Sus scrofa: one gene and its partner. The protein of the gene in region 1 purifies or fractionates together with the protein of each later gene. This does not show direct contact. Links are inferred from orthologs where the notes say so. Each region holds a gene or a part of one and is shown on either strand. Other genes may lie near its edges.

Region 1 (3,822 bases):
AGGAACTTCCACATGCTGTAGGCATGGCCAAAATCAAACAAAAGCCAAACAATGAGGAAAGTAGACTTTGTAAAAGTTAACCAACACGCCCAAAGTCACTCAGTGAGGAGGCACAGACAAAAATCTGAGCCCTCAATTTGGTCTGACTCCAAAGCCTTTACATTTTCCACATACTGCATGTCTACCAGTATAAGTCACTATATCTTAGGCTTCTTTCAAAATAAATAAATAAATAAAAAGGACCAAAAACTCCCATGAAATGCTGCCACTGTTAAAGCACTTGGGCACTGTTCAGCAAAAAGGAATTTGGGAGGACTGAGTAAGTGCAGAAACCTGGAGCTAATGAGAAAGCCAGCCTGCTGTCAAGAAGTGAGCAGAAACAGAAGTTCTCTAAAGATGACCTGGCATTTAGCTCCAGCAAAGCAGGCCCACTATGAAGCAACAGAAGCACAAGGCTGAAGAGACAGATTGGCCTTTTCAGAGTAAAGATTTAACTCAGAAGGTGAATCAAAAATGAAAATCTCCCTTAAGTCACGGTGTTGTGGCCGCAAAGTTGAAACTGTCTCCATGGGATTGGTAGTCAGACATCTGAATTAGAAGAGTTTACATTTTCTCTTTCTTCTTTCTTTCTTCTTTCTTTACTTCCTCCTTCCTTCCTTCTTTTATTTCCTTCCTTCCTTCCTTCCTTCCTTTATTTCCTTCCTTCCTTCTTTCTTTCCTTCTTTCTTTTTTTTCTTTTTGCTTTTTAGGGCTGAACCCAAGGCACATGGAAGTTCCCAGGCTAGGGGTCAAATCAGAGCTGCAACTGCCATCTACATCTAAGCCACAGCAGTACCAGATCTGAGCCACATCTGAGACCTACACTGTAGCTCGCAGCAATGCTGGATCCTTAACCCACTGAGTGTGGCCAGGGATTGAACCTGCATCCTCATGGACACTAGTCGGGTTCATTGAGGCACAATGGGAACTCCAGTCTGTAGTCTTATTTCTGGCCATTTGCAAAGGTCTTCAGGTGTATTCATCATGGTACAGGATACAGACACACATAGGTATGGATCCCATTTATTAAACAGCTTCTGTTTGCAGGGCACTGTTCACACATCACCTGATTCACGATTCACTACTGCCACTATGGCAGATGCGGTTACTCCTGAAATGGAGACTGAGGCTCAGAAAGTTCAAGTAGCTTATTCAAGGTCACACAAGTAGCCCATCTAAGAGCTAAGCATAAAGTCCATGACCTTGCTTCTACATACCATACCAGAAAAAGTTCTTAGAAGCAATCGAAACCTGCTTAATTAAATGGCTGGTGAAAAATCTACATCTGATGAATTCTAAGTCTGGACAGTTATTCTGGAATTCAGTCTGGTTTTGTTCAAGCTTTAACTTTTTCATCATGCATCAAAAAAACTACTTTTAAGAATGTGTATAAAATATATAAATAGAACCATATACATACACACACACACACACACACACATATAACCATATCCATAATAACTTAGCAGATTTTATATAAACCAGAACTGAAAACAATGAAAAAAATGTAGCTGTGTATATATTTCTATATATACAGATACACGTGCATGTGTGTGTTTGTATGTGATCCTTTTATTTTCCCAAGTCCAATAGGGTATTTATATATTCTTACCATCTATTTTTTTCCATTTGAGGAGAACTGATCAAGCTTAATACATTTCATCCCAAGGAATACACAGCATAGTTCTGAGTTTATTGGCTCTACACTGAAAAATTACTCCTAAATTACTCCTCACTTCTTTTCTGTTTTAATAGCATGAGGTTTTATAAAACACAACTCCATTCTGAGAACGTCTGCTTGCTCCCTATCAATCATAGATTAAAACACCAATTTTCTCTTAATATTCTTTAAATTTTCATCATTGCCATAGAAACAATGTAACATATGGATTTCAGATGTTCACTGAATAATAACAAAGTAAAGGAATAAATCTACTTGGAAAATGACATATGCTATTAATTTTGCTAAGCATGTTTTACATAAATTATCATGTATTATTCACAAGTGAAGGCTGACAAGAGACACTTTAGAGTTGCAGGACCTGAAGCTTACTGGGGAAAAGTTCATATGTTAACAAAAATTAAAGATATTGCTTAATAAACATATGATGGTGGAACCGTTATAACTGCACACAATTGATTGTTACTAGCCTCAGGCCAAAATAGACAAACAAGCACACTAAATGTGCCAGAATTCTATGAGCTCACAAAATCTAATTAAATCTCACATGCCCAGAACACCCGTCCACACCTGTACCTTATTTTGGTCTATTCATACAGTCTCCAAAAAGACTGGCAAATGAGGTATGAGGCCCTTCCCTCTCCATTTACTCTTCCTTTCTTTTGCTTGTACTCTTTGTTTCCTAATGTGCGAAATCCAATCAGGCTAATGAACTTGGGCTTTTAAAACTGATCATCATTTGTCAGATCTGTGAGGTGGCATCACAAGCCATCATGGTTCTAGTTACACAACAGTGGTCTCAAATGGTGCATTAGCAGCTAAAGAATTTTACACAGAGACAGAATCTTAGCAGCAGACACACTTGTGAGGAACTAATACTGAAGAGAATGACTTGTTTCTAACGGTTCTGAAGCAAAACATACTTGGTATCTCCAGGGCTAAAAATGGAGAAGAGAGGCTGCCACTTTGAGCAACACTGCCAAGATCTAAAAAAATAAAGACATTTAAAAGCATGAGTGTATCCATTAAAGTTCGTGCTATTTTTGCAGATAACTACACTTTTGGTTACACTCATTTTCTTTTTATCACTTTTTTCCTATTCCTATTTTATTTTAATATGGGATAAATACACGAGATATTTTGGGAAAGAAGCTGAGAGTTAACCAAGCCGTCAATCAAATGAGAGTATAACAGGTGAGCTCTGCCAATTTGGAGGCCTTGGCACTCTTATTTGTTAACTTTACAAGGCTCACCAATAGCTCATAAAAAAGAAAATGGTACAGTTGGGGGGGTGGTATTCATAAACCTTATTTTTAATTAACTAAAAAGAGGTTTTGCTATGTCCATGTGGTATGAAAGAGTCTGACATCGTCAACGATCATAGAAGATACTTACATCAATGTTGTTCAGGGTATTGAAATACATCAGATCATGCAGTCTTTTGAACGCTTGATTTGGATATTGGAAGTTGAAGGTTGAAAATGGTGATTCAGGGTCATCAAAGATATCAAAATCAGCTATCTCTTTCTCTTCCTGAGTTTCTCTTGGAACACCTAAATATAAGAAGAGTCTCAAATGGCATAATTTTGAAAACTGTAAATTATCTCTAAAACCCAGGCATATAAAACATATGCATAGCTATTAACACAACACTGGGAGCCTCTTCTGGGGTCATGTAATTCTTAACATAGACTAATAGGCTTCCACCCATATTCCCTGAACTTCAGCATTTCTGTAGGTTCTAAACAGACAACTTCCAATGGACAGGATTTGCCTCTCTGAGTCTAAGGGCTTTCTACCCCTCCCTGCAACTGCAGAAGGCGGCTTTGTTCACTAGCATCAGGCTGGAAATGCCAGTAAATAATATTGTGTCCCAGGAAGCAGTCAAACAAAGACTCTATGGTATTGGTATATAAATTCCCCCATTCCCTTGCCACTTGCTGTGTTACTGGGAAGGATGATTCTGGACCACAGATTCCATTCCATTTCCTAGAGTTTCCCAAAAGGATCAGGTTCTCCTTGAGATGGCCAGCTTAATACATCTTTTGTTATCTGCCTTTCTTCCCTTTTTCAGTTCCCTACTATCTTACTAAAATTCCCTT
Region 2 (3,922 bases), on another chromosome or scaffold:
CATTAGCCAGGTGACCTTAAGTAAGTCACATAGCTTTGGTGGGCCTTTGTATAACAGCTAAGAATTGAAGTAGGACCAGAGTGTCTCTAAGATTGCTTCTATTCTTAATGCGTTGGCCCGTCTATGCCATCCTGTACTCTTTGCTGGATGTTTTTACATTGAATGTACTTCAAAAGCAATATATGTAATGGAATCCTAAACTCCCCATGACTCTTAATGCCAGTGCATGGAACTGGGATGGACAGGCAAGATCCCCTTTGTTTTTTCTTTTATCCTGCTTTCATTGTGATTGACTTGATCGCTCCTTTCTGTAGTGATGGTGCTTAGAAGTGGGAAAGGGTGGTTTCTCCTGCAGGGTCCATGCCGTCAACCAGAAGGAGATATGGCCCTTTACCGGTGTTAAAGGGCTCAGGTAAAGTATTTATGAATTCCACGGACTCGTATATGTGAGGGAGGGAATAGACACTCAGTGTCTCCAGTGTGCTGGATGTTTATAAACTGCACTCAGAAATCCCTTAAGGTGAAGCAGCAGCATTTCCCACATGCCCTAAGAAATCAACTCCAACCTGTCTATACAGCTGCCTCTGCTTTTGGTGGGTTTCAGTTAATTCTGGCCTCGACCCCAGTTTCCTGGCTGAGATCAGAAGGAGTGAAATCTGGATGACATAATGCTCTGTCAATGCAGCGAGTGTGGATGTGCCTGGAATTATGACCCCATCCTTGAATAAATTAAACTGCCATGTTTAGTACTCATTGCTGAACACTTGAATTTATCAAGCCACAGAGCCTTTAGGAGGAAGGGTCTTTGTCTCATGTGATGGTCATCCTGGCTTCTAACTCCTGAGTATTTAGGAATAGACCCAGAGTGCCTTTGTTTGTGTGGTGGGAAGCTTTACAATAAGCACATTTTGTCCTTGAATTTAATGCCTGCCTGGAAGGGTCACAGAACGTGAAAGTGATCTTGGAGGTAATCACGTCCAGCCCTCTCATTTTACAGAGGAGGGAACTGAGGCCCAGAAAACTGAAGCAACCTGCCTGATATTAGTTCGGGCAGAGCCAGATCATCTAATTCCTGGTCTGGGGCTATATCACAGAACTCAACAAAAGCAGAGCAACAGTATCCTCGAACTCATTCTGGGAGAGCATTGTGGTAACTGCAGCTCTGAGAAGCTAGTTAAGCTATTTATATCTGTTTGACTGGTACTGATGACATGCGAATCATTATGTACTACAAAACCCTATGTTTACTGAGTCAGGAGTCAGAGGCTTGACTAATGCCATTTACCAGGCAGATGACAAGAGAAAGGACCCTGCCTTTAACCATCACCTCCCTCCACCCTTTAGAGGTAATGCAATATTCCACACCAAGCACAGTGATGCTTCAAGCACCTCTGACTGTGGCAGCGAGAGAAGGGCTTGCATTTCAATCTACTATTTTGTTAGGCAATGTTTCACTTTCAGTGAAATGCAGTAACCATCTCTCCAGGGCCTGCAGTATAAAAGAACTACTGTGCTTTGTGGCCTGATGTCCTGAATGATGTATCTGAGCTGATGGGAGATCCTCTTCCTTCACTGATCCCTCTCAGGCTGTCAGAGGTGAGGCATAAACCCAAACTGTTCTCCTATGTTCACACAGCCTTTTCAGTGGGAAAAGCAGTTATTTCTTGAGCAATGCCTGGCTCTCATTTAGTAAATTTCACACCATTCCCTTATAGTAGAGCTCGAAAAAAGAATTTTAAAGCCTTTATCTGAAGGGATTTAAGAAAGGAGATTCAAGCTGCTCAAAGGACAGCCTGAGGACAGCCAGGCACCCTGGTTGATTACTCCCTGGTGCAAGGCCTTTTTTCCTGCAACTCTGTCTCTATGGAGGCAGATGACTCCAGATAAAGTCGCTCTAACACCTCAAACTGTGGTGATTTGTGTGTAGTCTCATTTCACCTCCAAACTGAAAGCTCCTTGAGGGCAGAGGCAGTGTCTTCTTTACTTTCTGTTTCCAACCCCACTGTCTTACAAACAGTAGGCACTCAGTATATTTAATCAATAAATGAATGAAAACACCTTTCTAGCACTGACTTCCCCCGGGAAGGGCTGGAAAGAGGAAGGGACAGGAACCAGGGCCCAGAAGCACTGATTTCTATGTCTGGTTCTCTCTGAGCCTTTCAATACTTACTTCCAAAAATCCCGGGAACTCCTTTTCCATGAGTACTCTCAGGTCCTCCTTTGTTAGGTAGCCTTTATCCCCAGCAAATTTGTGAAATGTGAACATCATGGTTTCCATGGCATGTTCCATTTGAGACGGCATTTTCGTGAGGTCTGTTGAAACCTATTAAAGGATGTGAAGCGACAGAATTTACATTTTTTCCCCCTTTTTTGGCTGCCCTGTGGTATATGGAGTTCCCAGGCCAGGGATCAGATCTGAGCTATAGCTGCCACCTAAGCCACAGCTGTGGCAACACCAGATCCTTAACCTACTGTGCCAAGCCCAGGAACGAACCTACATCCCAGAGCTCCCAAGATGCAGCTTATCCCATTGCACCACAGCGGGAACTCCTACATTAACTTTTAAACCACATGATTTACCAGTCTTTTGAGAATGATTGGAAGAGGGCAATTTGCTCATCCAGTCCATCCTTTTTAACTGTAAAATTCAATGAATACATCAGGACCAATTCATCCCAGGTTTGGGGTCTCCTGCTGATGGAAATAGGCACTTTAGGTACTGCTGCTCTGAAGGAGGGATTGATCTAGTTGCCTGTTAACTGCACAAATCACCCAATGAAGAATAAAAATTCTAATCATTTGGAAAAGCAAGATCAGTGCCCCTCTTTTTAACTGACAAAGCTCCTACTGAGAGATGTTTCATCATTTCTCTTGGCACCGGTAAATGGGACTCAGATATAGCTGAATACCAACAACTCGCACAGTCAAGCTTGGTTAATACGAAAACTTCAATTCTCCAAAAGCTGAATTAAGTAACTTAGTTTAGTTTAAGTCTATGCTTAAGAAATCTGCTTACAAATGACTTTCATATGCTGAGTATGTATTCTTTACTAAAAGTTCTGAACTTGCTATAGATTCTAACAAACATCTGCATCTTTGGTAGTGAGTTGCAGTTGCCCTCCTCAAATAAAGCTACCCAAAGCCCATTATCTACTTTCTTGAAAAAGAACAGGTAATAGTATATCCATCCTAATTCCTTTGGGGATCTGATATATCCTTGGCAGCACTAGACAAAAGACCTACTCTCACCGTCTGGGGTGCAGTGGGAGAGCAAGAGCTTTTCATTGTGAATAGTTAAAGAAAGGAGTTCTTTTGTGGTGCAGTGGGTTAAGGATCTGGCATTGCCACTACTGCAGTTTGGGTTTGATCCCTGGCCTGGGGGCTTCCATATGCCAGGGATGCGGCCTAAATAAATAAATTAATTAAATAAAAAGATAAAGGAGATGTCAGATTGTTATATTCAGGTATAATAATCTGAGGACATGTGTCTAATCAAGACATACACTTGGTACCCAACAGGAGCCCACTGAATTTTGCTTAATTGGAAGGCAGGCTTTGGCCAGAACAGAGTAGCTTTAGTTAACAGCACCTAAAATCACTCCAGGATAAGAAACAGATGAACTTGAATAGAGACTGTAATATATACCGTGGGAAAAAAAAAAGATAAGAATAGGTTTTGAACAGAGGTTGAAGGAAAGTCTGGCATCTTCCCCTGAAGGGTTGATACAGGAACCAGAGACGTGGTTTCAGCCTGGTTTCTGCTGCTGACATATGCGTGTGTAACATATCCCTGAATACTATCTTTTATGGGGGAAGAGGGTGGAGTTGGTGAACACAAGGATTGAGCAAGTACATGTCAAAAGTTCTACCCCTTAATCCCCAGAAAAGTACAGGAATCAGCATGCCAAAGAATGTGCTACTC

What was found.
Region 2: the proteins of PLA2G4A (region 1) and S100A10 purify together in Homo sapiens (affinity purification with western blotting; 3 studies listed by BioGRID). This does not show direct contact. The link is inferred for Sus scrofa from reciprocal best matches to the Homo sapiens genes PLA2G4A and S100A10.

What each region holds. Positions count from the first base shown.
Region 1 is NC_010451.4:128,154,050-128,157,871, reverse strand, and holds part of PLA2G4A (cytosolic phospholipase A2), read right to left. Parts: intron 3,274-3,822; coding exon 3,116-3,273; intron 1-3,115. UniProt on the Homo sapiens protein: Has primarily calcium-dependent phospholipase and lysophospholipase activities, with a major role in membrane lipid remodeling and biosynthesis of lipid mediators of the inflammatory response.
Region 2 is NC_010446.5:97,267,481-97,271,402, reverse strand, and holds the start of S100A10 (protein S100-A10), read right to left. Parts: upstream 2,324-3,922; 5' UTR 2,303-2,323; coding exon 2,171-2,302; intron 1-2,170. UniProt on the Homo sapiens protein: Because S100A10 induces the dimerization of ANXA2/p36, it may function as a regulator of protein phosphorylation in that the ANXA2 monomer is the preferred target (in vitro) of tyrosine-specific kinase.